Linked DNA regions of Caenorhabditis elegans. The protein of the gene in region 1 purifies or fractionates together with the protein of each later gene. This does not show direct contact. Each region holds a gene or a part of one and is shown on either strand. Other genes may lie near its edges.

Evidence for each region. The genes of interacting proteins can lie anywhere in the genome.
Region 2: the proteins of cct-5 (region 1) and srh-301 fractionate together in Caenorhabditis elegans (co-fractionation; one large-scale study listed by BioGRID). This does not show direct contact.

Annotation. Positions count from the first base shown.
Region 1 is NC_003281.10:4,506,411-4,510,165, forward strand, and holds the start of cct-5 (T-complex protein 1 subunit epsilon), read right to left. Parts: upstream 1,705-3,755; 5' UTR 1,675-1,704; coding exon 1,567-1,674; intron 1,460-1,566; coding exon 1,234-1,459; intron 1-1,233. Other genes in the region: F25F2.1 (Protein kinase domain-containing protein), read left to right, coding at 2,519-2,521, 2,568-2,822, 3,222-3,412.
Region 2 is NC_003283.11:17,823,195-17,826,949, reverse strand, and holds the start of srh-301 (Serpentine Receptor, class H), read right to left. Parts: upstream 2,041-3,755; coding exon 1,731-2,040; intron 1-1,730. Other genes in the region: srh-300 (Serpentine Receptor, class H), read right to left, coding at 3,061-3,324, 3,380-3,755.

The DNA.
Region 1 (3,755 bases):
ACGGAGAATTGTTAAGACTCCAAGGTCTGGAGGTCAACATTCACTTGAAAAAATGAAAGAAAGATAGCTTATCGTGTATTTCTTCGTCATAGAAAGGTGCAGATAGAAACAATGAAGAATCAAAGAACATGGAGAATCGACAGACCTCCCATTCAACTGTTGGCTTTTGTGTGCTCACACCATCAGAAAAATGAGCAATCTTTTCGTTTTTTATTTTGTCGGAGCGTCGGGCACAGCGAAAAAGGAGAGCAAATGGATTGTTTAGTTAGAACGATCGACAACGAGCAGGCGCACTTTCTCATAGATCAAACATTTCAAACTTTTAAAGGAACGGCTAAGGGTTCTTTTTTTTTTAAATTAATTATCATGAATGACCAGAGGGTGACAACAAAATATACATTTTCGATAGAAAGTATTTCGATTTAATGTGTGATACTGATAAAGAAAAGATTGCAGATGAAACACGTTTCACTTCGAATTTCATGTGTACAGAGTTCGTTTTTATAACCAGCACGAAAAATTATCGATAACCAATTTTGCCGAGTGACTCAGACTGATTGTCTCGAAATTCAGACTTATTCCGGGTTTATGACGTCAACAAATAGGTGCGCTTCTCATAGTCATCATAAAAATACGGTCATTTTATGAAAAAATCAATGAACATTTCAGTTCTTTTACTCTAAATGCTCACGAATTTGCTTCTCAATGGCATTTTAAAATGCAGCTGCTGGTGACGTTTACAAAAAATCCTGCAATCAAAATTTCGATTTGCCGGCTGTATCCACAAGCTCAGACAATAACATCAACTCTTTGCTTTTTTAAAATGAAAATCTTGTTACAACTATCAAAGCTATTCCGAAGTTTATCAAGATTATGGTTTACGTAGTTGAGGTGAATTTCAAACGTTAAACCGAAATAATTTTAAACTATGCTGCAGACGAAACTACACAGCAGAAGAAAATGAAGGACAGCGACCAAAAAAGGAAAAATCGGAAAGCAAACACGGTTTAGTTACGACGAAGAAAAGGGAGAAATGTGGACATTTTCTAGACATGAATCGAAAAATGTTCATAGAGAATCACCAGAGGAAAGAATTTCGCTAGGAATTTACTTGATATTAGGAAAGGTTTTCTAAACTAAAATATATTCAACTCTCACATGATAATCATAATAAGTTTAAGCTATCTAATTTTACGAGGTGCGCGCTGAATTCTGCCAAAAAAAAAAACGCACCAACGACACCAGTGGTTCCGTCTCCAATTTCGTGATCTTGAGACTTGGAGAGCTCAACCATAAGCTTGGCAACGTGATGTTGCACATCCATTTTCTCCATGATAGTGGCTCCGTCGTTGGTGATGGTGACATCGCCGTCTGGAGAAACGAGCATCTTGTCGAGTCCACGTGGACCGAGAGATGTGCGAAGAGTGTTGGCCACAGCACGAGCGGCAAGAATATGACTCTGAAATAATGAAGTTAATTTTAAGAACAAACTTCAGGACTTGTCAAACATGAAAACATAACATTTAGAAACTAAATGTTCCGGTTAAAAAAATAATTATTACATACTTTCACAGCTTCAACTCCGGTGATACGCTTCTGGTTCTCCTGCTCACGCATAACGATGAACGGTTGCCCGCTCTCATCGAACAGTAGTTGCGCAGATGACTGCGCCATTTTCTTATCCAAGTTCCGTCTTGACAGACACTGAAAATATTAGCATGTTAAAAATTTTAATTAAGAGAAAATTATTTAAGTATAAGTTGTTGAAAGAGAATTGATTTTCAAAAATAAGAAAAAGAAACGAAATTCAGCATTTCGAAACAATGTTCTCGATATCAAACCCGCAGAATATTCTCGAGGAATGAATAAAATGAACGAAAGAAAATTGGAATAGCAACATTGGCAGCTGTTCGGTTATTCGGGATCTTCTCGAAGAATTTTAAAATGCAATGATACCAAGAACACTGAAAATCGACCTAAAATGCTAAATCTGAGTGCAGAGCGGACAGAAACTGGAAATAGGTTTGAATTTTAAATTTCTGGATATAATTTCATCAGCCAACTTAAAAAAACTGAGGTGAAATGAACGTTTTTTGACGAAAAAAATTGAAAATCTTCTAGAAAAATGTCACATGTGCAATTGCGCGTCATGGTGTACGCGGCAAGTCCGCAATTTTTGACCGTAGTCGCAGAGAAATTCGGCGCCACTATTCTCGATTTAAATTGAACAGTGAAGGGAAAGAATTGGGTCTGAAATTATTTAAATAGTCAAATTTAAATAGTTAAATTTAAATTAAAGTTTAAACACTATAGCGAGAATAAATTTTATTTATTTAACAAATAATTTTCGCCTTTTTTAATTGAAAGTATTGAAAGCGTGAGTGCTAAATAGATTGAATGTGGAGATAAGGGGGGAAGGTTTTGAAAAAAAAACAAATAAAATTCAGTTTCAATTTTACGGTGGTCCGAGTTGGTGTTTGCTTCAAAAACCAGCGTTCGAGAAGTATAAGAAAAACGAATGGTAAGATCAAAAGGCTTGAGGAATATCTGAGAATACCGGTGTTCAGGATCGCTTAATTAAAAAAATCGATAAACGGAAAAAGAAAGCGGATAAGAAGAAAAAAGAAAAATCGACTCAGAAGAAGAATAGTCTTGAAAAGAAGAACAAGAAGGATAAAAAGAAGCAAAAGGAGAGAAAGAAGAAGAAAGAGGCACGAGATTCTTCAACTTCTGAAGAATCTGAAGAATCGGGTGAAAGTCAGAGACAGCTCGAGAAAGTCAAGTCAAAATTAGCAGTTGATGCTGCAAATATCGATAAGAAGGTATACATTCCGGATTTCTGAACTTTTTTGGATACTATTACACGTTCGGCAGACTGTTGCATTGGAGTATCGCGCATCATACAGTTTCAGGGTTACTGTACCTTCGAAAATACGCAAAAACCACGAGAACTACGGCATTTTGCGGTGTTTCTGCAATTTGCCGGCAAATGGAGCCTAATACATGCCTATTTAGGCATGCTGTAAAGTTATGCTTGATGGTGTTAGCGGACCTGGGAAGCTACCGTACTCGGAAAAGGTGTTGCAGAGAGCAAACTATGCCCAGAATTATACTTTCCTACTTCCAAATGCTTGATGAAAGTGGCAGCCATGAGGCAGGCGTAGGTCGCCTTTATGCCTACTTTTTCGGTTATAATTTGATATTTATGTACTCATTTTCAGTATCGCATGGCGGGATCTCTGTTCCGAAAACCGGAAGATCCTCCGAACTTTGCCCGGAAAGTGCTGGAAGCCGAATGGCGAGAGATGTATGTCGATCCAAAAGTCACAATTGAGACGGTGAAAACATTGAACACTTACCTCAAGACACGTGCTGAATTGAGATCGACGGATCATGTGGTCATTGCTGAGAAGTTAGTGGAATAAGAGTTGCCTCGCAAAGTGCCTACCTGTGCCTTTATCAAGCCTAACTGCGTGTCTACCTTATGCATGCCTACGTAAGGCATCCATGCCTACATAATTACTTTATTCCTACCTAGACGTCTACTTTATGGCTACCCGTGTGCCTACTCTATGGTTAGAAGGCATCTATTAAATGCCTAGTTCATGCCTACCAACGGGCCTGCGGGTCCACCTTCGTGTATACACCATGGCTGCCTGTGTGTTTACGTTTGCTCACCGAAGGGCCTACCTCATGCCTACCAACCTGCCTAGCTCATTCTTGCCTGCGTACCAGTTCATGCCTGCCTACCCATA
Region 2 (3,755 bases), on another chromosome or scaffold:
ATATGATGCCCGACTTTTAAGAAATTCGGTGGTACAGCAGCTAGATGAGTGCAAACGCGCTACACCGAACAAACGGGTACGGTTTGATCTACAAAAAATTCGGAAATTTTTTGCCCAGAAACATGTGAGGTCAGTTGAGAACTCTGCGTTTCATTTCCCGCTTTTTCTATAAATCTAACAAGGGAAGCCTTTCAGCTCGTCCTCGGACTTCCGAATGAGACCTATTTTATTCGAGAGAGGACCTTAATAGAAGGTCACTCCAAAATTTTTAGTCTCGGAGGAGCACTTTGAAGTGGGTAAACGGCGATCTGAAAATATGCCTCTACACCCTCACTCAAAAGCACTAATTTTGCATTAGTGGGAAGTTTGAAGAACATAAATAATAAGTAACGACATAATTTCAATTTAAATCGAAGATGGGTGGCGCAGTGGTAAACACTTCGCCCATCAGATGATAGATGTAGGTTCGTTTTCCGACATGGTTAATTTTTTTTTTCGAATTTTTCTTGCGCTCATGGAAGTCTGGAAGCATTCTGAAAATGCACATTTTCCAACTTTTAGGGTTAATACATTCATTCCCGTGCATGTACAAGTCAAGTCGTTCGCTTTTAGAAATATATATTTTTTTCAATTTTCAATGATTTTTGTGCGCATTTTTTTCCGAAAACTTTCTATAAAGTGACCAGATGTTATAGAACCATGCAAAACTGGATGTTTCTATAGTTAGAATGTTAAAAAACGAGTTTAACATCCAAAATTGAGGTATAGTAGTAGCCCTATGTTCAAAAAACGCATGATCTTTGGATACCTATATCTCCGTGAAAAAAATTTTTATGGCAAAGTGATCAACTACAAAGTTGTTTATCATAACTTAAAGTACAACTTTGTAGTTGATCGTTTTTTATCAAAAAATTTGTTGGTCGAGATAAAGTTGTGTAAAGTTCGTCACATTCATGCTCGAATTATTATCTTCTTTTCCTGTTCATATCACGACCAACAAATTTTTTGATAAAAAACAATTAACTACAAAGTTGTACTTTAAGTTATGATAAACAGCTTTGTAATTGATCACTTGGCCATAAAAATTTTTTTCACGGAGATATAGGTATCCAAAGATCATGCGTTTTTCGAGCATAGGGCTTTTCAGATCGATGTTTACCCACTTCAAAGTGCTCCTCCGAGACTAAAAATTTTGGAGTGACCTTCTATTAAGGTCCTCTTTCAATTATAATAGGTTTCATTCGGAAGTCCGAGGACGAGCTGAAAGTCTTCCCTTGTAAGTAAATCAAACCGACATGGGACACTATGACGCCACGTGTATAGCCAGTTTGGGGATGTCTCAACTTAACATTTTCTCTGATAGAAAGTTTTTGAGATATCAATATAAGATTTCAGAATGAGTATCATGAGCGAGGTTATTTAGTTTGTACCATGGCAAGTTGTACTCAACTGCAAATACGCTCTACCGAACACCAAATATAACCCGGTGAACTTTTGAAGTTTTGGTCCTAGTTTCTGTAAAACACGCAACGAATTCTGGCACGCGCGAAATTTCTCGTAGCAAAAACTACAGTAAAACTAAAGAAAATTTGAAAAAAAAAAATCAAGAAAATCGAGCCCGTAAATCGACACTGGCGCTGCTACAGTAGTTTTCGCTACGAATTTAATGTTACCATAGTATATGAGCACGGGGTTATTCTCGTTCACTATTTTCAAAAAAATAAACTCACATCTAAAAATAACAAAATGAATAAGGGTCCAAATTGGTGGTGGAACTCCCATCCAACCCCAGAGCCCCATTGAAAACCCAGCCAACGCTGGAGTACATTGATATGGCTGAACGAACAAGCTAATCGAAATATCCAGGGCGGCAGACCAGAAATGAAGGTTGAACAGCGCCCATTTCACTGATTTCATGATAACTGGAGTTTTATACAGAATACAGTACCCTCCGAATATATGAATTGGAAGTGAGAATGCAGAAATTATATAGAAGCACATGGAATAGACAAATGGATCCTTGAGAATTGTTAGAAGCATGTTAGGCGAGCCGAGATTAAATGAGAAAAGTAAAAGTAATTGTGCGCTGTTTTGGAGAACGACTGGAAGGAAAATGAAATTACTCGAGCAAGCATTGTCCTAACACGCAAATGCACACAAACAAAACAAAGTTCAGACTTCATTGATTGACATTTCCTTGAATACAACTAATTTGTGCGAATTACAAGTTTAACTATGATATTTGTTCACATTAGCACTCGTGGAATTGTTTTATCCAATTCGTAGTCGCTACTCCACTTTAATATAGCTATTTGTGGTTTCAATAGGTGATGAACTTTTCTAAGAAGACCCGTGTAGCTTTAATACACGGAGACACGATAGCTCAGTCGGTGGTGGTGTCCGCTAGTAATCTAGAGGTCACGAGTTCAAGTCCGGCCTTACCTCCTAGGTTCAACCAGGGTCTATTGGGAAGTGGAGCAATCCATGACTGGATTTTCGGCCACAGTCCCCGGCTAGGCTTAAATTATAGCCCAGTGGGAGTACCGCGGCAGTCTCTAATAGTGCACAAGTCGCGGAAAACCCGGAGATTAGTGCGGAACTCCGGAGTATATACGGTAATCAAAAAAAAACATTGAAAAAAGGTAACTTTTAAGGTTTAGTAACACATTCAAAAAGATTAGCATATTTGGGGTGTCAAGAAGTTTTGTATCAAAATTCATATCTTTTTTGTAACAAAATAGACTATTTGAAATTGCGACTTTGTTAGAAGAAGGAACTACATAGTGAATTATTCGAATAAACGTAAAATAAAAGTCAAAAACGATGTCTTGTCTGATTTTTTAAAAGGAAATGTCTCCAAGTTAAAAAAAAAGAGAGAAATATAATACATACGTTCGATCGATTTTGTATTCTATAGTTTTCTATTATTTCAATTATGCATTTTATGAGCATCTTCAATTTTTTTTGTTCCCGGTTCCAGGTTGGTTCATGCGAATGATATTAACTTTATTTCAGTGTTCACTTTTTTTAAAATAAGATCAAATAAGTGTTACTTGATAATCACACAAAACTCTTAGTAATTCGAGTTGCAGAAAAGATTCGAACAGTTTTAAGTTCAACTGGCTTTTTTCGACGAAGAACCACTGCCAGGAACACTTCACGATATGGTTTTTGCAGATATATCATCAGAATCGTAGCTGATAATCCATGGAGTGATGTTACAGTGTTCAGTAAGTTATCAACACCTTGTTGAACGGAATCTTGTGAAGCTAGATACGCACCAAAGACCGCCGGGATGAAGATGATCGCAATCGGAATAGCGATCTGAATTTGAATATTGATTTTTTCGCTAACTTTTTTTGACGTGGCAAGTAAGTACCTTAAGATTCAAGGCTCTTATGAACATCCTATGCTTGTGAAATGTATCACGTGATATTGATGTTTGAATATCCTTTGTAGCTCTATTCATTTTCACCCTTATCACTACAACGAAGACAACAATCTCCACTAACACCAACACTGTCAGAGCATTTTCCCGTAAGTTCGACCAATAATCATCACCAAGCGTCATCACAAATATAACAGACTTGGAGACGACAAGTTCACAGGCTTGAGGATACATCTCGAACATGACACGCTTGGCATTTTCCTGATCTTCCGGAACATCTAGATATACTGGAATGCAATAGGCAAGTACGAGCGTGTAGTTTAAAATAAGGAAAGGGTAACGTAGATATCTCCAAGCGCCGTTATTT